Linked DNA regions of Oryzias latipes. The protein of the gene in region 1 purifies or fractionates together with the protein of each later gene. This does not show direct contact. Links are inferred from orthologs where the notes say so. Each region holds a gene or a part of one and is shown in the gene's direction. Other genes may lie near its edges. The genes, in order: btbd1 and cops6.

Region 1 (12,227 bases):
TTTATTGTTTTAATTTGTTTTTATTGTCTTTTACTATGTTAAGTCTGTGATACGTGTCAGATGTTGTAGTTAATTGGGGGGGGGGGGGGGGTTGTGAAGCAATTTGTGATTCTTTTTTGTGAAAGTTGCTATAGAAATAAATATTTACTTACTTTACTCATGTATTCTTACCATCTTTCATTGGATATTAATAAGCAGATTGACACAGATACGATTTTATCTTTATGTATCAGAAAGACAAAGCAAAAAATTACAATTCAAACAAAAAAAAGCCTAAACAAATGTGTTTTAGCTTATTTACTTCCTAAAGACCCAATATGGGAAGCATAAAAACAATTTTATTTTTATTTTTTCCAGCCCCTCTTACACAGTTGAGCCAAACTTTTGTAAGGCATCTTTGATATTATTAGCCCCCCTGTTTTTCTATTTAATCTTCTTTCTTTTCTGCTGTCGGCCTGAGGAAGAACTCTGGCTGGGTGCAACACCGGTAGCAAAGAGCTTGAGGCACCAGAGTGTACAATAAATTGACCAGCAGGAAAACAAGCTGGCTGCTAACAGGCACTCTGTATGAGAACGGAGTCCGAGTGTGAAGAGATGCACCAATGTAAGAAAACTGGGCCTGAAAAAGAACAAAGAAAATCAGACAATAATCAACGAACACAATATTGTCTTGAACTGAAATCACTGTTAAGAAATGTCTTTAAACAAAATGTCATTATGATGTGTGGCGATTTCTTCTTAACAAAAAATATTTAAAAAATATTGTAAGAAAAGGGATGCAAGGGTTTTTGCATCAATTTAACGCAAACCCCTCAAAGTAAGCACAATCTCTGCCTGAGTTAGACTGTGATTAAAATAATCAATTACAAATTGATCCATTCTTCACAACGTGCTTTGTTTTGCTGCGTATTATAGAAAAATAAAAAAGTATATTCGTTGTTATCATGACAAAACAAATTTGATATCTTGTGATACCGACATCTACTATCTCATTGTCACGAGAAAAAACTTGTTTTCTTGTGATATCTACTGTCTGGTTAATTTTCCCGTGATAAAATGAGATGAAGATGTCGCTATCACAAAAGAAAAACAGGCAAAAAAAGCAAGGTTGGCCGTTCGCGACTTCCCTACTAAAAATATTATTAACCTTTTTTTTTTATTGCATTTTTTTGCTTAATTGCTTTTATTGTTTCATTGTTATTGTCTCTTTCATTATATTTTATTTTTTAGTAATTTTAGTGATATTTGACTTTATGTTCAGCAATTTGATTACTTCTGCTTTTATAAGTGTTCTACAAACAAACTGACTGACTGACTGATTGATTGATTGATTAATTGATTGATTGACACTCTTAAAAAATGATAACTCTTGGGAAGTTTGATTATACTAAAATTCACTATTTTTAGGAACATCATTTTATGGAAGGCATTAGTTTATCATTTTAAGTTACTTGTTTTAAAGGGTGCATTGAAGGTGGAAATATTAGGAGTTCATGCATGTTTTTCAAATCTGTTTCACAAAAAAACTGCCTTATTTCCTGTCCGTTACTGCTGCCAGAGCCTCAGCTGTTCTCTCTATAGTTAGGCCGAACAGCTGACATTCAAATGAATGCCACCATTCCTCATAGTCCCAAGTTAGCTTCTGTCATTAGTCCTACTGATGAGTGACATGCCAGCCTGCAGCCAAACACAATAGCTGCTTTGTGTAGTTGAAGCTAGGATTGGCTCTTTCACTGTTCCCTCTCCTGCCAGTGTTCAGGTCTTCCATTTTTAGTCATAACTAGATGTCTGGAGTCTTCTGGGACACTTTACATCAACACATGCACAACCATGAAGTGGCAAGGCAGATGAAAGAGAGCCCCTTTCCGTTTCTAGAGAATAGGAAGCTTGTGAAAAGAAGAATGGCTGTTCTTAAGCATCATCTAATGGGACATTCTGTAGATAAACAATGACCAATTCTGTTATCTACTTCATTTGTTTAAAGTAGTCAAACACAGAAACACGTACCTGTGCCAGTGCTCCTGAGTGTACAAGAGACAGGTCTGGCATCCACTCACATCCAGGGACTAACAGCCCATATAAAGCTATTATATAGTATGGTCCAGAATACAGCATGCTCACCAGCATCTGACAAAAAAAAGTGGGTTAAAAGCTTCAAATGACAGAGTTGAGATACTTTTCTTTTTTTGTATGAAAAATATCAATTAGTTACCTGAACTTTGGGATAGGCAGAGGGATCTTTAAGGTAAGGTTCATACTGTTGTGTGTAGTCGTGACACCATTTGCAAGACCAGTCAAGAGCAATCTTGAACACAGAGTTTTTATTTTATTTTAAACGAAATAGATCTGCAAATGTCTGAATGAATGTTGATCGTCTTAAGCTCCTTACCAGGCCTCTGAAGACACAGAACATAAACGCAAGAAGAAGGCAGATGATAAACACCAAATCCAGGGGTCTGTGTAGCAAGTTTTTCCTCACAGTATTTAGAATATCCTGAAAAATGGCAAAAGCAACAATATTTACAACATATCTTCTTTCATTAAACAGTCTTTCAGCAACTGTGAGGCAGTTATAAAAAGAAATAAACATCTGCAGGGAAAAACTAAACGGTCTTGGTGTATTTCATATATAACTTTTATTAATTGTAGCTGTATTCACTTGCATATTGAAGTTATGGGTTTGATTAATATAACAAAGTGTTGATGAGGGCTATTCATTTATTATTTCCTTGATTGAAAAAAAGCCCCAAATATCTGTTCCTTTACATGTAAGTTGCTCAGTACATAGGAGTTTACATACTGTCGACTGAGTATCTCGTGCGGAGGGTTGACTGAAGACGCGGAAGCAAGCCCACACTGACACAAAGATATAAAGAATTTGGGGAATGAAGAAAAACCCAACTTGGGTCCCATATTTACCTAGAAGAAACACAGAAATAACTTCAATTAACTGGGGATGAAAGGTGTGTATGAATGTGTCAACGTTTTTCTTTATATGAAACATTATTTCTCTCTCTCAGCTCTAGGGTTCACTTTAATTTTTCTTTTTAAGTATGCAATGTCATCGTTTTCTAAGATAAAGTAAATGCTGAGAGACAAGTTGGACAACCTATTCAAGCTGTGTATAAGCATCCCATTATTTTTAGTGCACTTACCCACAGCATTTCCAAGAATGTAGACTATGGTCTGCATGAGAAAAGAGCCAACCCAGTACAGTCCAATTACTCTGTAACTATCCCTGTGAAGATCACATATACACTGCAGTTATCCAGATGAGCACATTATGGTTCAAACATACAAGCTGGTGCATCTCATACCCCCAAGTTATAGCAGCAATCATGAGCAGATACATGAGATAATGAGCTGAGCCATCCCAATAGGAGACCACGTGACCGTGTGCTGTGTTAATATGTGGGTCTGCCTGAAACAGGGGAGTGAATCCATCAGAGAAATATGTGAGGGTGTGTGTATGTGGAGAGGGGTAACAGGCTGCCAGCGCAAACACTTGCCTCTTTGAGGTAAAAAGTTACAAATCCATCAATGATGTTGTCTTGCTCCAATGCAATGATCAGATTCACCACGCTGAGGAAGGCGTACACTGCATACACTGCACAGACGCAAGGTTATCACTTCATTTCAGTGGGTGAAAAACTGCTGCGAACACTTTACAGCTATCTGCTCAAATGTAAGTTTATTATAAATATGCAAATGTAAACATTTTACATTCAAATAAAAAAGTGATTGTATGTGAGAAATCATATATACAGTAGAATAGAGGGTCCTCTGGTGCCTTCTTCTTTAGCATGAAACGGGCTGAAATCAACAGGGAGGGGACTGATGTGCACCCAGCAAAGAAGAAAGCTTCAGCACTGAATGCAATGAAAAACAAAATAATAATAATAATAATAATAATAATAATAATAATAATAATAATAATAATAATAATAATAATAATAATAATAATAATAATGATGATGATGATGATGATGATGATAATAATAATAATAATAATAATAATAATAATAATAATAATAATAATAATAATAATAATAATAATAATAATAATAATAATAATAATAATAATAATAATGCAATATTTCTATTTCTGCTGGTTGGGAAACTTGTATGGTGATAAAGTCAAGAGGTTACATTAGGGGTTAAAAAACAATAAAAACATGTTGTCACTCACCTGCTGTTTGAAAGAAGAGAGTTGAATAAATAGCAAATAGGAATGGATGTTAAGGACAAAACAAATACTCCGGTCCCTAAAGACGCGCTCATTGCTGCTTGGAGGTTTTTTTTTTGTTTTGTTTTGTATGTATATATAATTATTACACAATAACTGATGCTTTAAAGCTTTTCAGATGCAGGAACCATCTCATTCCAGTTTCTAAGAAGTCATGGATTATCTAGGAAAGCAAATAACTGCGAACTAGCGCTTCTGCTGCTCCAACCTGCACGCGCGCTGTCATCCCCGCTTCAGTCCTCTTCTAACTCACGCATTTACGCTTGATCTGTGCGTCAAAGCGCATGCCCGAATATCGAGCTGTTTCAATTCCTATTCCAACTTGAAATTCCTTTAAAAGTAAAAAGTTTATTTTTTTCAGATTTGTCCGGAAAATATTAATAAATTCAGTTCCTTTGTTAAAGGTCCATGAAAAATTAAATTGGAAAAAAACTTTTCACAAAGTGGTCTAGAAATTAACATACACAAACATCTTATTCAAACTAACCCCATATGTATTATTGTAAAGAGAATTACTATCATTTTATAAACAGTTGGGTGTAAAATATGAGATTAAAATAGGATAGCTACCGTTGACTTTATAGGAGAAGTTATCCTTAAATTTAAAATTTAAGATAAAAAACTTTTAAGAAAAACAATGTCACTTTTACAGCCAATGATGCCTACAAACAACTAAAATAAAAGAATAAAATCACCGGGGCGTGTAGAGGGCAGGCTTTTTAGAGGAAGTGCGTTACGTCATTTCCGGGGCTAACAAGCATTTACTCTGGTGGGTTTAAGGCCTTCGCCGGGATGGATACCACGTAAATAAAGAACAACGCTTTCTTTTTGGAGACCGCGTTGAACACCGTAACGCGTTGTTTTCCTTGAAACGGAATATTCACACAGTCGTTGTTTATGATGGCGACTGGGAGCGGAGGCGGTATGGCGTCAAATCATGAAGCTGCGTCCAACTCTATTCAGTGTGCAGCCGCAGTCGCGCTGTCCAGCAACAACATGCCAGCCTCTGCTCCGGTCCCGTCCTCCTCCCCGCCTGGCCCCGGCCTCCACCGAGGACCGATGTACAACTGGCAGGCGACGAAGAGTTCCCTGAAGGAGCGCTTTGCCTTCCTCTTCAACAACGAGCTGCTCAGCGACGTCAGGTTCATCGTGGGCAAAGGCAGGCAGGCCCAGCGGATACCGGCCCATAAGTTCGTCCTGGCCGCTGGCAGTGCCGTCTTTGACGCTATGTTCAACGGCGGGATGGCCACGACTTCAGCTGAAATTGAACTCCCCGACGTGGAGCCAGCAGCCTTCCTCGCCCTGCTCAGGTAGACGGGACCCCTTAAGATGTGAAGATGCTCATTTAGATTCCAGCCATGATAGAACATGTGACATGTTGGAATCCGTGGTTGGCATCCTCCACTTTCACATTTATGCTGTTGTTTCTACACTTAAATGTTTTTATTATTAGAATAATAACAATAAATCACATGTAGTTGCCGTGCATCACAACAAAAGTAAAAAATGGGCTGCAGAAGCTCACATAATTGTAATCTGTGAAAGCTAGGAATGAAAAAGTTGAGACTACAACCATGACATTAATGCTGGAAGATAATTAAAAAGTTTAGGTTACAGTGCAGCATACATGGATCACCTTCACTGTTCCTTTCTTTGATCAGATTCCTGTATTCTGATGAAGTCCATATCGGTCCAGAAACTGTGATGACAACTCTATATACTGCAAAGAAGTACGCTGTCCCTGCGTTGGAGAGTCGCTGTGTGGAGTTCCTCACCAAACATCTAAGAGCTGACAATGCATTCATGCTTCTGACTCAGGTAAGGAAGTGCCAGCCGCCTCAGCTGGAAGTCACTGACCTGAAAGCTGCTTTTCTTCTCAACTCTGGAACGTTACGCTTTCCTTAAATGTAACCTTACGTTTATAAAAGTGCTTCAATGTAGCTGGCTGTTAAATGTAGTTTCTTGAAAGTTACACATAATGTCAAGATCTTAAAAACAGTAGTAAGAATTTAGTTTTTCTGACTCCAATGGTTCCAGTCTTGGATGAAGCCATTTTTTCTTGTAAAACACGAGTCAGACCATCTCCCATCTATCCGTGCTCAAAACAGGATTTTTCTCTCAGCTGATCTATTTTTGGTTAACGCTGCCTGCTGCTCTCTATCTGCCGCATAGACTCATCTTAGTGAACTGATGCTTGATGAGAAACTCGTCTTTGCTGCAGCATTTTGGCATTTTCTGTGTCACTACTTGCCCAAAAATAGTGAAGTAAAATATTTCTGAGACGAAAATATATTTTTGCCTCATTCCTACATTTGATTATTTTTGTAGTTTAGGCTTTTTACCCAAAATGAATGTAGAAAATCAACACAAAAGAGCTGCAGGAATATTTCAGAGTTTTTAAAATAGGATTTCAGAAATCCAACCTAAGAATATGAAAAGAGTATGATGGAAAATACAGGAAAGGGGCATTGGAGCAGAGTGACTGGACTTGGACTACTGAGCACAGGTTCTGGTTCTGAGAGGTGCAAACTACAACGTCTGGCAATAAAGTGACTACATTTAGAAAGACAGGCAAGAAAACATATATTTCTATTTGGAACAATACAAGTCTCTTCAACTCTGTTTGAGCAGTTACCTGATAAAGCAGTACGTGGTCATAGAAAATGAGACATGCCATTCCATTCTGGAGGATCTGTGAATTTTAACAGCAGAGGCTGAGGAAACCAGTCAGGGTCTCAAATGGAGGCAACAGATAACCATGATCTCAAGCTGCAGCTGGGTGGCATACTGCTTTTTAAATGTTGGACCAAGCAAATCCCCAAGATAAGAAGAAGGAGGCTTTTTGGTTAATTCAATCTTTAATATTCCCAGTGGTCTTTATGGCATTTTTAGCCAGAATCAAAAAACCTGTTTAGTTTTTTTTTAGAACATGGTTTCTGCAGAGCAGCAGGAGTTCATTAGAAAATTCGCCTCTGAGTTGTGGGGCCCAATTTCCCGTCATCCATGTGTTTACGGTCTCTCTTCCCAGCTGACAGCCCCTTACAACTCCAGCATAACATTACTGGTGCAGCAAAAGTCCAGTTTTGAGCCAGATTCCAGCTCAGACGAGGAAAACAAAGACGTACATGGATCTATTTGTCTGCAAGTGGATGCATCAGAATGGAGCGGAGCCATTTGTAGTACCTATGTCACCGCTGCAAGCTTTTTCCAACAGCATTTCTTCATCTCCTCCTGATTCATAATGATTTGAATAAAGAAATAATCAGAAATGCAACTTATATCCTTTTATCATCAGAAAAAGGACATGTTCAAATCACCAAAAACATGATTTTAATTGGAGTTGGTTAAAACAGCGGGTTGATGGTGATAGTTTCAGTTCAACAAATTTGGTCTTTTTAGATGCAGAAGGATGTCCTCAAATGGTTTTTAATTTAGATTTTCTATTGTCATTTTTGCCTTTTTAAAATGTGTGCTTTTTTAAATTTATTTTTTTTTAAAGGCAAGGTTGTTTGATGAGCCTCAACTCGCCAGTCTCTGCTTGGACACCATAGACAAAAGCACTGGTGATGCAATTAACGCTGAGGGCTTTACAGACATTGATCTGGGTAAGCGTGTCTCTGCCCCTCTAATTAGTAAAAGTTTTCTCTTCTTAGATCCTTTTTTCACATGTATTAATTGATTCTTTTGGTGTGCGAAGACACCTTATGTGCAGTGTTAGAGAGAGACACACTGAGCATCAGGGAGAACCGTCTGTTTGAAGCTGTGGTGCGCTGGGCAGAGGCAGAGTGTTACAGGCAACAGCTTCCCCTGACATCAGAGAACAAGCAGAGGGTTCTGGGGAAAGCCCTCCCTCTCATCCGCTTCCCACTCATGACTGTGGAAGAGTTTGCTGCTGGTAAGTGCATAGCTGTCCTCTGTTCATCAGGTTTTCGTTTGTTTTCCAGCATTTTTTCTGACCTCATCAGCCATTCATCATGTTCTTCATGTGTCCATACAACTCAATCCACAGAAACCAGTTTGATATTCTTTTTTGTGCAACAGGGCCTGCCCAATCTGGAATATTGTTCGATCGGGAGGTGGTAAATCTGTTTTTACACTTTACAGTAAACCCCAAACCACGGGTCGACTACATTGACAGGCCTCGCTGCTGCCTCAGGGGGGAAGAGTGCAGCATTAATAGGTTCCAGCAGGTTGAGAGTCGATGGGGGTACAGCGGCACCAGTGACAGAATCAGGTGAGACCAGAAGCTCCACTTTTGGGTCATAAAATAAAAAAACTGAAATAAATCACGTTTTTCTAATTCTATTTATTTCTTGTGTTATCTCTTTGTAGATTCAATGTAAACAGAAGAATCTGTATAGTTGGTTTTGGCTTATATGGTTCTATACATGGACCCACTGACTATCAGGTCAACATACAGGTAACGCATAGCCTTAAGGCATCTTATTGCATTTGTACGTTTTTGATGGAAAGATCTAGTGAAGACACTTAGCGGCGCCGAATGTGTTTTTTATTAAGCAGAATAGTTGAAACATCATAAAGACAAACTCAATGTTAGGATTTAACACAAACCCAAACTCATTTCATTGTGTTCCTCTGTGATTTATGGTATAATCAATCAATCAATCAATCCCATCAACAAAACAATTCAAATTCACTCATTGAAGCGTGTTTTAGATGCAGAAAAGAACTGCATATTGTGAACATAAAAAGTATGTGTGGAAATATAAAAACAAATACAGGTTTTTGAGAACATCATCTAAAAAGAAAACACTTAATTATAAATATGACATTAGTTTAAGTGTTGTCCATTATGTCAACTATATGAAGCGTTTGTTTGTTTTTCTATCATGAATATCTAAGTTTAACATTGTTTTTTTGCTATATTGAGTTTTGCCAAGAACATACAGTCAGAAGGAAATTCTCCTCCTTGTACTTACAGTTTTTAGCATTTTGCCACAAAACTCACACAACCACACATATATTAGTTGGATTCATTTTAGAAACTTTTAGCAATTTAAAGTTTAACTGGCAATTTAAAAGAATATATATTTTCTGATCTAATCAAACAACAAAAAACCTGATAAAGTATAAAAACTGCTTAATCTTTTGAATTTGATGTTACAAATGCCCTGTTTGTTTATGGAGTATTTCTTGTGTTTCAGATCCTAGAAAGTGACAAACGCATTACTCTGGGACAAAACGACACAGGCTTCAGCTGTGACGGCACAGCAAACACCTTCCGGGTGATGTTTAAAGAGCCGGTGGAAATCCTTCCCAGTGTCAACTACACTGCATGTGCGACCTTGAAGGTCGGTCCAAAGCTGCCGCATGTGGAAGCTGACAACTATAAACTAATGCTGTCTTTTGTTCCTTTTCTAATTTAAAGTCTGCTTCTAATTTTGCACTTCAGGGTCCAGACTCACATTATGGCACGAAAGGGTTGAAGAAAGTTACTCAGGAGTCCGCTACAGGGGCCAAGACAACATTTTTCTTTTTTAGCTCACCTGGAAACAACAATGGTACGTCAGTGGAGGACGGGCAGATACCAGAGATCATTTACTACACATGAACCCAAGTGGTCTGGCTGAGATGGACTTTGTGCCTGAAAATCTTGTACATTTAAATGTGTGTATATTTGATGGCAAAAAAAAAAACCACAGGTGTAGATACATAATCTGGAATGTAGGAGGGCTCGTGGGAAAAATCACAGCTTTAAGGGCATGAAAGTTACTTTTATTTGAAAGTTAGCTGAAAAATGTGTCTTGTCATTGTTATTTCAGTGTCCCACAGCAGTCCACACTGCCCAAATTATCCTGCACGTACAGGTACAACCTGTCATTTTGTCTGTTTGAGCTGCTACCTTTACTTTAAAACACAATTTTATTGTGAACTGTGATCATTTATTTTACAGTTTTCTTCAGCTGTTTCGTGTCTACGTTGTGTAAAACATTCATGACTGTTGTGACATTAAACTGGCACAAAATGTTAACAGTCAATCAAATGTATGTCAAAGACTGTTGCTTCAACTTTCTCAAAGGTTTGGGCTTTTTTTTTTGTCAAAAACACCTGAAAGCCAAAAAGGAAAAGTTGTGATTCCTCTTTTCTGTCACTAAGTGGTGCAAATGTGCAAATAATCAGAAGAACTACAAGGGGAAAAAATTAAGCATGTCAAAAAAAAGAAAAAGAACGGCTGGATATTTTAGGGGTTTCCTGATTATATTTTTTTGCGATAAAAGTCAAAGTTTACATGTAACACTCGAGGCAATCGAGAACAGGAAAAGAAATAAAACTTACATTTACAAAAGATTAGGGTTCTGCAGAAAAATATATGGAACTTAATGCATCAATTACGACCTCACCTACACTAGTTCCCCAGTAAATTCTGGCCCGTCTCCAAACGTTTTTCTGTTTTGTAATTTGAAAGTATGACTGATTTACTGAAACCTGCATGTTAAAAATGAATGCCCTCAAACTGCTCATCATATAAGGCAGGTAATGCAAACCAGGCCTTTTCAGACAGCTGTGAGTGGGCTTTGATAGAGTGATCCATGAAGGCTGTCAGGTGAGTCACCAGGACCTGAAAGCTTCTCTTGCTGACTGCCCACTTAGCTTTTTTTATTTTTTTTAAATAGAAACAAGAGAATCAAGTTGACGCTAGATTTTTATCCACCCACTGTAAAAACGCTGCTGAACTTATTGTCACCATTTCACCAAATGTTTCAAGTTGCCAGTTTTGATTCAGAAAATGATTTTACTGTGTTTTTAGTGGACATCAAGCCACCAATGTGCAGAAACATGCACAGATTGGTCCTTTAAGTTGCTAAATTGTAAACACATACTCTGATTTGCATGATTGCGCGTGTCTCCGTATGTGGGAGGGTGTATGACAGCAGAATGAGCTGTCTACATCACTGTGAGCCTGTTAGTTGAACATAGTCAGCAGGGTAAAGAATTCATGTTTCTGCTGTTTCTGACATGAGAGGAACTGCAGGACCTAAATTTAAACAGAATGACTGCACCAAAAGCTCTGCTGAGAGCAGTTCCATACTCAAGTTCTCTCTTTTGCATTTTTCCTTCTGAAATAAAGAGTTTAAGTTAAGACCTATAATACATGTTTCCCCCTGTAGATCTTTACCAGAGCAGTTATCTAACAAATCAAAATTTGTTTGTATTGAAAGCTGGGTTTACAAAATTGACACCTTTTTTTCTATCATGTATTTTGATGAGGGCTTTTTGAAAATCAGGACAAGACTTTATACATATTTATGAAAACAGGATACAATCTTTCTCATCAATGTGGCAGAGCTCATTATCTGAGGATGAACTATTAATCAGATGAGTCAGTTGGATGCTGAGTGCGTACAACTGTCTGTCAAATATCTTGTAGTGCAGTGGCCACTTACAATATGACAATAAATACAAACATTGTCCTGTAAAAAAAAAAAAAAAAACACACACACACCATAGAGCGAGTACTTGCAAACCTGCAATTTAAATGCACAGTAATTTTCCAGGCTTATTTTTGTTCCAAAAAGGGTACAGTGTTTATGATAGGGTTGAAATATAAATATGCATTACTAAAGGTTTCATTATTAATATTTAAGAATAGAAAGACAAATAGCCTCATTTTGCCGTGTTTTGCAAGTTTTAAAAAAAACACAATACAGTTGAAATTAGGGCTGCACGATATGAGGAAAACTTGTGATATGCGATATTAGTGATCAATATTGCGATAACGATAAATTTGCGGTAAATAAACAAATAGAAAAATAAACAAAAACATCATTCCCATTTCATTGCAACAGTTTAAAAATTATACTCCAAATGACCCTCATCGACATGGGGGACAAACGTCAGGGTGGCTAACCCTGGTCCTCAAGAGCCTCAACCCTGTCTGTTTTCCAATTCTCCCTAGACTGCTCGATAATGATAACCAAAATCAGGTGTGTTCAGTCAATCAGGATGTGAACTCACTTGA
Region 2 (12,112 bases), on another chromosome or scaffold:
GCTCAGAAAACAAGATAATTAAAAAACAACTACAGGTATTAACAGATAATAAACAGTACCGGTACTATAGTACTTCAATAACAGAATAAAGTGACCACCGTCTATAAGCCGTTTTATCTAATAGCTGATAAGAGGATAGATCGGTTCATGTGCCTGATCTTGCAACGAGATGTTGGAAGTACCCGCTGCAATGAAAATCATGTTTTTAATGCTTTTAACATGTTCTTGTAGCAATTTTCTCATAATGAAGGACATATATAAAATAATTTATTATTAAAGCTGCACTTCTAAGAATTTATTTTATCTGATTCAGCAGCAAATGAAAAACTGCTGTTTGAAAAAGCTTGTTTTCTGCTTAACCAGCTCCTTCCTTATTTTAGGTAATTGAATTTTTAAATGTTTAAAATGAGTTTTAAGGTTGGGTCCTGGCATCTTGAAGAAACAAAATGACAACTCCCGGACGTCACAGTAAGAAATGAGAACCTTCACTCACATTTAAAAAATGAGTGTTTTTTTTTCATACATCACTCCTGCTTTGGTCAACAGTATGTTACAGTATCTGATGTGTTCCTTGTGTTTGTTTAGACAAAGCCAATCATCTCTCTATTAGCCTGCAACCCTATATTAAAATAAACAGCATTAAGAAACAACTAAATAAATACAGCCAATAGTAGCAGAGTAGAAGTACTGGTTAAATGGAATCCACTCAGGTACAACTATGGTGATGTAACTACAAGGAGCACTTTTTCTTTTTTACAAAGTTATCCAGTAATTCAGTGTGACAACTTCAGAAAATAACCAGCGAGATGCACTGCAGTAACATCAATAGATTACTTTTTTATTATTATTTTATTAATCACTTACCGGTCTATGAGGGCCCTTGGGTTCATGATTCTCCTTGTTCTGCAAATAAGTGATTTGAGGGTAAATACATTAGCATTACAGCACAGATATTCAATAATAATACCCACTGCTGCTCAGTGAGTGTCAGTGCACCTGACAATAGTAACTGGAAAACGTTACGAGGTCTATTGATCAGAAAATAAGTTTCACATTTTAGCAAACTTGACGTAATATGCTTTACATAAGCAAAAAGCACATTTTACAGTTCTAAAGGAAATGTTTTATTTGGCTATGTTCTGCCACTAACCCCAGCCTTATTTTTTCTTCTTACATCTAAAGCTAACGCTAGCTTAACGTTAGCTAAGGTCTTCGTCGACTTTTTCATTTGAAGAACAGTGCGGCGTAAACAGACGTTCACCAGCTAACTCTGCTGTGACAGGTGTAAATATCACTTTAATAAAAAACATCAATACATTACCTGCATTTCGAAGAAATATATTCCTATTGACAACGAAAGGTGGAGACTATTCCTCTCGTTGTTAACTTCCTAGGCCGCCAACGTTTCAAAATCCTGGTTGGGACAAAATCATTGGTCGATAGGCGGAGCGTCGAGGACTCCTATTGGTCCTTTTACAGCGATTGGTCGAGAACAGGGGGAGCATCAAGGGCTCCTATTGGTCAGATTATAGCGGAAGTGTGTGGATGGACACATTGGGACAGGCGCACCAGTGGGAACATTTTTTAATTATTAGTATCATAATTATATATCATGTTCGTCTATTACTCATGATACAAATTTGCAATGCAGCAGCAGCAGTTAATGGAATACTCTAACGTACGAACCTTTTTGTCTGTCCACATGTTATTTACAACGGCTTTAGCTGTGTTCAATTGTTAAAAAAAACAGTAAAATTCAAAAATGATAGTACTGACAATTAATTCAAATAGTAAAGGTAGCCTGGTTTTAGTTTTACTTGATTGAATTGTTGCAAAATAGGGGGGGGGGGAAACCTTTTCTTGGAAAATATTTAGAACCATTTTGCCGTCTGCATATAGATGTGTGTATAAATGTTATACATTTATACTTAGTGGAAGGGTTAAAGTAAAAAGAAAAAAGTTTTATTGATTGTTTTTAAAGAATCTCTTTGCTACAAGATTAACCTTTAAATGCAGCACAATGCATAGCAATGAAGGAAGACCTGTCAAATTTATGTTCACATTCAAATTTATTATCACAAATGTAAAAAACAAAAACAAAAAAAAACATTGCAACTTGAGAGAGACTTGTTTTAGCAGTACACAGTGCATTTGCATCACCACAACCTGCTACATGTGAGTGAATTGTATGATTTGTGAATGTAAAAACCTGGTAAAAAGCAGTTGAGTAACAGGAAACAGGTGCATTGTTGCTTTTTCAGCTCGCTTTAGTTTTTTGGCTTTGCAACCAACACATGCATGTCAGATAGTCAAGCAGTGACAGTTCTGCTTTCTACGTTTGTAACACGACCTAAGGATGCACCTTGAAATGACTCACTTATCAGTATTTCTTCTTTTTGAAAAAAAGAACCCATTGATTCACCTGAAAAAAGAAACTGCTTAAAGATAGAATGATACATCTTTTTGTGACAGTAAACTCTGTTTAAACCTTCAAAACATTCATGATTCAACACCTCTTCTTAATAACTGTCAGTCTAAGAGGCACATTTTTCAAAAAGGGGTGACAAAAGGTTTTTGATGTTTCCATCAGTGTGATGAATTAGCCTAATCCTGTGTCAGTGAACAATCTCAGTGTAATTCACCTTGATGAGTTTAAAAGTTAGCTTTCATCTTTTATCACAACACACCATGAAGCCTTAATTTTGGTTAATTGGAGAACGTCAATTCGGAAAGAATCTATTTAAACATCTATTTTAAAAAATGCAACACTTATTTACATGTTTTTTTACCCAGAGTTCCAAAAAATATGAAATAATTATTTCTAATTTGGATAAGGCTTAAAAGAGCTTTACACAATGAACTCCATTTAACCTGTAAGTAAATCTTTTTTTTTTTGCCCTCTTTTTGGATGGACAGGGGGGTGCACTCCCCCCTTCGATGCGCCTTTGTGAACTCACCAACATCAAAGTGGAATTCCATTTTATTCAATTCACACAGACAGTGGGGCTTTAACCATGATGATTTTCAGATTATTGGGTGCCGATTGCTGTTTGTACTAAACTACAACAGTCTCCCAAAGATTTACATGGACTTGTTGTCAGAACAGAGCATTAGTTGAGACCTCTATCAGTCTGCGTTTATTTGAACAGAGCAGTTGGTAAAAACCAGACTACAAGAAGGCAGCATGACGGCCAATGAGCGCCTAAGGCTTGGAAAAGGATCATTCGTGTCTTGTGTCTTGTTGTCATCGTTGTTATCCATCTCTGAATGTTCCTCTCCATCTTGCTGTTCTTCGTTGCTCCTTTCCTCCTCTTCTGCCGGTGGACTCTGCCGAGGCTGGAAGACAACATCTTCAAACTGGAGCTGGCGGAGTCCGCGGAGCATCCTGCAGCTGCGCACGATCTGCAGCTCACCGAGCGTGCAGGCCCACAAGCACAGGCGCTTCAAATCTTTCAAGCGGCTGGCACAGAGCAAACCCGGCCCTACCTCTTTACCACCGAGACTCAGCTCCTCTAATCCAAGCCATCCCGCGCCCAGCCCAAGGGAGGCCATCTGCAACTGGTAGCCTTGCCTTGCTGTAATACCTAACTCCAAAAACTTGAGCTTGGACAGGCCCTCCATACCTGAAAGGCCATCTTTTGCTGCACAGCTTCTAAGCCCATTTGCTGTTATACGAAATGTGTCGCGAAGTTCTAAACGACAAAGCCTCTCCCATGATGTCAGACTCTGCAGGTGCTGATCTGTGAAAGAGGGCACATTGTTAAGAACTAGACTCTCAATACTAATGCCTAAAGGCGAGGCCTGCCCTTTGACTTTTGGATTTTTTCCTTGCTGTGAACCACCAGCGCTGGAAGTAGCCACTGCTCTGTCCTGAGGAAAAGCAGGTGAGGAACTCTTGGCCTGACAAAAAAAGCCCTGAGGGAGCTCACAACCACGGAGCTCCAGCACACGTAGAGAAGGAGGCAAGAGGTGGCAGTTGGGTAAGGTTCTCAAGTCTGCATGTAGAAGGCATAGCTTACTCAAGCGAGGGCATTTAGTGGACAAAGCTTTGAGCCAGGACTCTGAGAGAAAGGTTCCACCCCGGGCAGAAAGCAGCAAGCCACGCAGGCGAAGGCACCTCAGTCCACAACCAAAGTACTGACGCAGCAAGACCCAAAGGATGCGAGATGTCACCTGATGTAAGAAAAAAGAAGAGACCATGTGACAATAACGAGGAGAAAACTGATTAAATAAATAATGAGATATAAGCTCAAACACATGCACATCAGAAACCTAAAAGGAGGCCTATTTTTTTTTTGGGACTTACTTTCCTAACAAAGGACAATTAACAACATTTTAAATAACGTGTCCAATTATAGTAGAAATAATAATACAAGAAAAAAAGTGCACCTTTGTCACTGTTTTTAGTGAAGGTTTAAAAAAATTGGACATAAACTAACAAAAGAAAGCCTTAGCACGGTTGTTTCAAACATCACATATTTTTTATCCATGTTTATTACTGTGTCCATTCGATTACAGAAGAATTAATATTAATACTTAATATTCAGGAACTGAAACCACAGTCCTACCCCTTTCCAAGCAGTCAGATCTACTGTTCTCCACAGTCTTTGGTCTTTAACCAGCCGTTTCCATCTCTTACAAACCCTGGAGAAAATGTGGAAACCATTAGAAACTCGCCAGACAGAAGTCTCAACAACAACAACAAAGGGAGATCATCCAGCTGGCTCTGTCTGTCTGTGCATGCTGCTGCATTGTATAGAAAGAACAGGGAACCAAAAATCCAACACATTCAGCAGGGCCACATTTTCATACCTTCCAGCTCGAACAAGCTCTCTGACGCTCAAAAACGACAACACGTCTATCAAGATGTTTTCGGGGAAGTAATCCAAATCGCAGCCTTTGAATTCATCCATTCTGTAAACAAAACCTTCCACACGGACTAATTTCCGGATGCACACGGGTTGCGCTCTAATCAGTAATCCCCAGGAAACAGCTTCTGGTTAGCAACAGTTCAGTTCATTTAACAGTTCAAAGCAACGGGCCTGGGTTTCTCTGAACATACTCAGTCTACGTCTAAGTAGTTATTTAAATTTTAAAAATGTTTATGACATCAGCTCTGCCGCGCGCCTTATTGATAAATGTTCAGAAAATATGTGATGTTGCCACCTATCGTTCGCTAGGTCAACAGTCCACTGCGCACGCGCAGTCTACCGGACAAGATGGCGACCAGCAATGGTGGAGGAATGGAGGTAGACGGGGCAGGCAAGTGTTTGTCTTAAATCAGACCGTTGGAGCCCGACGTTAACATGTACGCGCGCACCAAGGGCCCCGCGTGTTTTGTGTCTCTGCTGGTTTGTGAGCCGGAAAGATTTGGCGGCGCTAAAGCTTCTGGCTACAAAAGCTTTGCTAACATGATAAGCAGGTTAACGGTCAGTCAGTGATGAATCATTCTGGATTTACTGTCGCTTTCTCTGATCTAACTCAGTAATGCGCAGCTGAGTTTATAAATACAGTCACTTAACAATGTACCCATCCTTAAAATGCTATATAATCTAAATCCAGATTAACCGAGCGCTGTTTAAAGAAGGAAAACAACTTGATAGTTTCCCAAATGCTACTGTATTCATTCATCTAGAGTAGGGGGCTGAGACCTTTAACGGGAAACGAGCCACTTGGTCCAGATTCTTACAGATCAAAACCCAACGAGAGCCACAAAGTCTGGCCTAAACATTTAGAAAAATACACTTTTTGTTTGTTTACTTCAGTGGCTTTTTATTCATTATTGTAACAGGTAGCTTTCTTTTACATGTCGACAATAATAGAATCACAAAGGTGTTATATTTTACTAAAAAAGAGCAAGTTTAACTTCTTTACTTCAGACAGCAGCACATACACGTTCCTTTCAAAATAAAATGCACCCTAAGTCAAAAGATCCTCCTGCTTCAACAGATTTAATTTTAGGTGAGCATTCATCCTTTTACTATCAACATAAAGATGTGTGCATTGGTTTAAAATCCAAATAAAAATAAAAATCTATACATGTAAATGCAATTATATATTTTAAGAACTTTGACTCAAAGCAACAACTTGACAGTAGACTATAAGAATATTTGCTTAGTTAAACTAATTAAGTATTTGTTCAATTTTTTTGAATGTCTTTATAGCCGCATGTGGCTCTGGAGCCTCAGGTTGCAGACCCCTGCAACCTCAGATACATCAGACCGAAGCCATTTTATTCAGTCTGTGACATCTACAGGATGAAAAAGTGCTCAACCTGCTTAAGATGAGCATCTTTGTGTAAAATAAAACATGAGCAGCTGCTGATGTGTTGGACATTGTCATACATCCGATGAATTTTTTCCTTTATCAATTGATTAACTACAAAAATGACAGATAAAACTAAAAGGTAAACAGCTTAGGTTTAAAGATCAATCTTCAGGCCTGTATGAATATGTTTAGGCAGGTGTTATCCTCTCTTGAATTGTTTTAGGATTATTTTTTATTTGTAAATGTCTCATCAACACGACAGCCAATTATTTGATATGTCATACTATATCTTATTGTGAAAAATCTACGTTGTGTTCCTTGTGTCTTGTATTTCCTGTTTTGTTGAAGTTGTTGCTGTTTGTGTGTCTGCAGCCACCCCCAGTGTCATGGCCTCGGGGGTCACTGGGAGTGTTTCTGTGGCCTTACACCCTCTGGTCATCCTCAACATATCTGACCACTGGATCCGCATCCGCTCTCAGGAGGGCCGACCCATGCAGGGTATCTGTGATGAAGCTAAACTGTAGCTCCACGCGTTGACCAATCACGTTTACTGATGTCTTCTGGCTCCAACATGGTCATGTCTGTTTCACAAAAAAAAAAGGCAAATGAATTGATTTCATGTGCTTGGAGCCAGAAATAAGCCATTTTCTATGGGTGATGTCACACTAACGCACTCCAATTCTCACATACAATCAGTGGTTTTGATTGATTTGTACTTTTTTTTTCAAACAGAGACATCTTTTAGTGTTAACTAGGAACTCAGAACATGACTAAAATTCATCATCTTATCCAGTAATGTCACTATGAATGCAGTATTCTTACTTGAAGCAGCGGAGCTCTTGAACGTGTGTTTTTCAGGCATGTTTGTGTTGTTTTGGTTGATCGTGGGTTTTCCTTGTTTAGTGATCGGCGCTCTGATCGGGAAACAAGAGGGTCGAAACATAGAAGTGATGAACTCCTTTGAACTAATGTCTCACACCATAGACGACAAAGTGCACATCGATAAGGAGTACTACTACACCAAGGAGGAGCAGTGTAAGCTGGGTTTCTCAATCCGTGTTCTTTATTGAAACTCTGGACCAGCAGTCCTAAAATGTGGACTGAATGAGGCTAAAACAGTCCTGCTGGATTTAAAAGAATAAATAGTCAAAGATTCAGTTGTGAGTTTTGAAATAAACTGAATTAAATTGAAGGTTATGTCATTCCAAACGGTTAATCTCAAAATAAAACTTCATTTTTATGTTTTTTAATATTTGATTTTAATTTTTTCTAAAGCAAATTATTTACTTTTTGGGGTCAAAAATTGGCTTAATTCTTTTGTAAACAGCTAGAACCTTCTTTGTCTCTTAGATGTGAGTGAGTCCTAATTCTGAACTACAAAACAAATGTCCGATTGTTCTTTTTCTCCACATAAAGTACATAAAGTAATCTAATCACCATTTACATTTGTAAAAGTCTGTTTTTTGTTTTCTTTTGATTTTTGGCAAATAAATTGTTGAATTCTGCTGTTTCAGTTAAACAGGTCTTCAAAGACATGGAGTTCCTGGGCTGGTACACCACAGGGGGGCCCCCTGACCAGTCTGACATCCACATCCACAAACAGGTACAGAAACGCCGGCGCTTCATGCTCGACTGCAGCAAAATGTTCAGACTTAGTGATGCTGAGCTGGAAATGATCCACTTTTGGGTCGAACCTTCTCTCACCAATGCTTCTTTAAACGTTTGTCTGTTCTGTGACAGGTGTGTGAGATCATTGAGAGCCCGCTCTTTCTCAAGCTCAACCCGATGACCAAACACACCGACGTGAGTTGTTCTTCAGTCATGGAGGGGCGTGTGTGCGTGTGAAGAGCTTTTCTAACCTGCTTGTCCCGCTCCTCCACAGCTTCCTGTTAGCGTTTATGAATCTGTGATTGACATCATCAGTGGCGAGGTATTGTCTCCGCCTCTTCGCAGCTCTGACTATGTTTTTTTGTGGCTCCTCATTGAAACGTCGTCTTTCTTCGCTAAGGCCACCATGTTATTCGCTGAGCTGACGTACACTTTAGCCACAGAGGAGGCAGAGAGAATCGGCGTCGACCACGTAGCTCGGATGACGGCCACCGGGACCGGAGAGAACTCGACCGGTGAGGGGGGGTTGGGGCTGCAGCAGACGCACAACTCCATTCATGTTTGTCATGGCACAGTCCGGTTCATGAGCAGTCATGGAGACACACCGGTCTCTTTTTGTCTGATTGACTGTGCTCACAAAGTTCCAAACTGCTCTGCATGTTCTCGTTATTTACTCAATAGATGCTACTGCACACTGGGACACTGGACACTGAGGAAAGTCTCGTGGCACGGCCCAGCTTCTTTGAAGCACTTTGTCTCTTTATTTGAATTAAAAATAAAAAAGGTTATAATGATAAACATGTCAAAAGACAAGATGATAAAATGGAAATAGAAATTTAGTTTCACTTCCGACTTTAAAAGGAAACACCTGTTTACAAAGAGAATGACACAGAAGGACGGAGGCTGTGTCCAAATTGGAAGGCTGCGTTTGAAGGCCTCTTACGTCACAGCGCCGCGACAAGTGCTGTCCAAACACGACTCCTTCAAATGCGGCCAACGAACACGGCCGTCTTTTTCCCAATTTTAAAAGAAATTTCTCGTTCACTACCGCTCTCTGTTGTTTTGTTTCATTCATTTTTATTGTTATAAAAATGAGAATATCTGCAGGCTCAAATTTAGACATATGAGAGTTCAAGAAGTGCAATAATTTAAGATGAAAAAACTTGAATTGAATTGGAGTAAAATGACATTTAGTTAGTTAAATATGTCAATTTGAGTTGTATAAACGATTATTGAGTTTTATAGACGTAAGAAATTAGGTTGAATAAATTTAACTCAATTACTTGTTACCAATTGAATTCATTTAAGTTGGATAAGTTATAGATAGATAGATAGATAGATAGATAGATAGATAGATAGATATGCTTCACAATGAAAATGAAAACGCCTGTTCAATTCAAACGCCTGTCACAATGTTCTTCTACTACAAGCAGAAACTCTTTCTTTTGCTGATGCAGCAGTGTTACTTTTTTGATGGTCTTATAATCTTCATACACCGTCATTAAAATCTCAGACTGGATTATTTGCCGATGTAACAGCTGGAATCATCTGAAGGCTAGACTCGTCCAAATTCTCAGCCGTTCACATCTGGCCCACCCGCTCGACGAAGGATGCAGCCCTCCGATTTGGACAGACCCGTAGAAGCTTTGACCAATATGGAAGCCTGTGGGTTTACGTAACAGGAAGTTCTTTCGTTGCACTGCACATGTCACAAAGTGCAAAGCTGTTTTTGAAACTCCCCTCCCATCATCTTCTGATCTATTTTCAAAGCTTTCCCTGTGGTCTCTTAATTATGATTGTGGCGTTTTCAACCAAAAACCTCTATCGTTCTCCTGCAGGGCGGCTGCAGTTCATTTGAAATTTGCCTCTGAGTTATGGCACCCGCCCTCACCTCCCATCACTCATCTGTTTACACTCTCTCTCCCACTAGTTTGCAGCCCCTCACACCCCCAACCCAAAGAGCAATATTGGAGCTATCCAACCTGACAGTTTGGAGCCATAGCCTCCTCTTTTTATAATAAGATGCAAAGCAGCATTTCTGTCACTGCTGGGATCCAGGATAGAGGGAAATATTTGATGTGGATCTTTCTTTCTTGTAATGAGGAAAATGATTTATTTTCTTCCAAATAAAATCTATTTTTTTCTTTTTGTATTCTTTTAAATGTCATTTTGTTTAGCTTCTTTTTCTTTTGTGAAATAAATGAATTGGGTGAATGCACATCTGTAGCAAGCTGCTGAAAATGGACCCTGACAGACCTGTGGAAGTGCTTTCAGGTCATTAACACTAACACTTGTCCTTCCTCCTCCTCAGTGGCTGAACACCTCATAGCTCAGCATAGTGCAATCAAGATGCTCCACAGCCGAGTGAAGATCATTCTAGAGTACGTGAAAGCCGTGGAAGCAGGTGAGTCTGCTTTATTTATGAGGCGGGCGCTAAAGGCAAAGAGCGTGAAGAGCAGCAGGTGTTCTTTAGTGAGATGTTCCAACACGCCTGTCTAATAACAAGCCGCCATTTGACGGCAGCATCAGCGGCAGTCACATGACCTCTCCGCTGTGTTACAGGAGAGGTGCCATTTAACCACGAGATCCTTCGAGAAGCAAACGCCCTGTGCCACAGACTGCCGGTCCTCAGCACCATCAAATTTAAAACGGACTTCTATGATGTAAGAACATGTTAAAAAAAAAGGAATTCCACTGAGATTTACCTTAGAAGTTTTGTTTGTTGAGGTTTAAACTGTCTTTGCTAAAAGGTAGAATGCTTTCTTGTTTGTGATGCAATGCTGCTTCTTTATGACCTTTTTAGATACAGGCTTTTATTTTCTTAACCATTCTTTAGAAGGAGATCCACATGCTGGATCTCCTGCACTTTCAGGATCATGAATCCCACAGAAACGTATTTTCTAGTCCATAAGCTCAGATGCTTCCCTTTCACAACCAATCAAGTATTTTATCTCGGTCTCATAAATTATAAATATTAGAGTTGACCTTTTTTCCTTTTAAGAATTAACCCCTTGACACCTGAACCTATTTCCAGCTTTAAAAAAATTACCTTTCTTCGCTTTCAAGTTTATGCTAAATTTTATCAGTGGTTGACAAAGGATTTTCATTTAATGGACTTCCTATTTGTATCACTAAAAAAAAACAAAAAATGTGGTCTAATAAATTTCTCACATATTCAAACATTTTTATTATTATTATTATTAACGTTCCTCTGCCACAAAAAGTGTTTTTGGTGGTATTTCCGTCTTTTAAGCCTCTTGTCATAAAACCGGCAGAAATCTTGACTTTTTTTTTTGGTGATTTTTATTACAAAAACTGTTTAACTGTTTCTATAATCGTTGCCCCCAAAGCATTGAAGCTTCAGTGCTTTAACCTCTTAAGACGTGGCGTTCAAATTTGTAGGCGTCACATTTCGGGTGAAATTACCAGAGTGGTTCTGCTTATCTGGGTTCCTGTGACTTCAGAGGGTTACCTCAACTATTGGCCTGGGTCTTAAGGGGTTACGCTTTTTTGTGTTTAACACTATAAAAGAATTTGCTCATAAAATAAAACACTACTAAGACGAGAGAAAAAAAATCCCCCAAAGTGTCATGATGTTTAATTCAACTATCAAATGTAAACTAAATATATCCTAATAGATTTTAAATAGGATGGAAAGATTCTTAATATTCAGAAGTAATTTGTGTGCAATGATTAAAGTTTAAATTGTACAAAATATGAGTCTAAGATGATCAAACATTGACTTGTTTTTAGAAAATGTACATTTTCAATTGTAATGATAGAAGTTCTACCAACAATATTTGATCTAAAAACAAATCTGTCTTAATACACTCTTACTCGATTGGTTATCACCTCTCATTTTTAATGTTAGATGTTATTAGATTTGGAATGAGTCAAATATAATTGACTTAAATATGCATGATGGAATAGTGGTTACCCCTCTTGCCTCACAGCAAAAAGGTCCTGGTTCAAATCCCAGCTGGGACCTTTCTGTGTGGAGTTTGCATGTTCTCCCCGAGGGTTTTCCCCGGGTACTCCGGCTTCCTGCTTCATGGGGTAATTTGTGATTCTGTGTGGACCTGTGACAGCAGCTGGGTTGGCTCCAACAGCTCTGTGATCCCAAAAGGGATTCAATGGACTGATGGATAAATCAAAAGAGCTTTTAAGATGCACATTCTTTCATAATTTTTTTTCTTCTGCTTCCTGCTGCAGATGACTGTTGAATCTGTGCCTCACT

What was found.
Region 2: the proteins of btbd1 (region 1) and cops6 purify together in Homo sapiens (affinity purification with mass spectrometry; 3 studies listed by BioGRID and IntAct, counting the BioPlex papers as one, with this or other methods). This does not show direct contact. The link is inferred for Oryzias latipes from reciprocal best matches to the Homo sapiens genes BTBD1 and COPS6.

What each region holds. Positions count from the first base shown.
Region 1 is NC_019861.2:13,869,874-13,882,100, reverse strand, and holds btbd1 (BTB/POZ domain-containing protein 1), read left to right. Parts: upstream 1-4,991; 5' UTR 4,992-5,143; coding exon 5,144-5,556; intron 5,557-5,907; coding exon 5,908-6,064; intron 6,065-7,745; coding exon 7,746-7,851; intron 7,852-7,943; coding exon 7,944-8,141; intron 8,142-8,287; coding exon 8,288-8,480; intron 8,481-8,578; coding exon 8,579-8,666; intron 8,667-9,411; coding exon 9,412-9,558; intron 9,559-9,659; coding exon 9,660-9,818; 3' UTR 9,819-10,514; downstream 10,515-12,227. Other genes in the region: tm6sf1 (transmembrane 6 superfamily member 1), read right to left, coding at 428-619, 2,008-2,127, 2,213-2,305, 2,390-2,494, 2,801-2,919, 3,156-3,238, 3,318-3,421, 3,510-3,607 and 2 more.
Region 2 is NC_019868.2:6,640,847-6,652,958, reverse strand, and holds the start of cops6 (COP9 signalosome complex subunit 6), read left to right. Parts: upstream 1-5,180; 5' UTR 5,181-5,219; coding exon 5,220-5,262; intron 5,263-6,639; coding exon 6,640-6,765; intron 6,766-7,170; coding exon 7,171-7,302; intron 7,303-7,781; coding exon 7,782-7,870; intron 7,871-8,007; coding exon 8,008-8,070; intron 8,071-8,149; coding exon 8,150-8,197; intron 8,198-8,275; coding exon 8,276-8,390; intron 8,391-10,186; coding exon 10,187-10,279; intron 10,280-10,437; coding exon 10,438-10,538; intron 10,539-12,112. Other genes in the region: aurkb (aurora kinase B), read right to left, coding at 865-903, 1,322-1,327; fbxl12 (F-box/LRR-repeat protein 12), read right to left, coding at 3,127-4,173, 4,569-4,644, 4,813-4,913. UniProt on the Homo sapiens protein: Component of the COP9 signalosome complex (CSN), a complex involved in various cellular and developmental processes.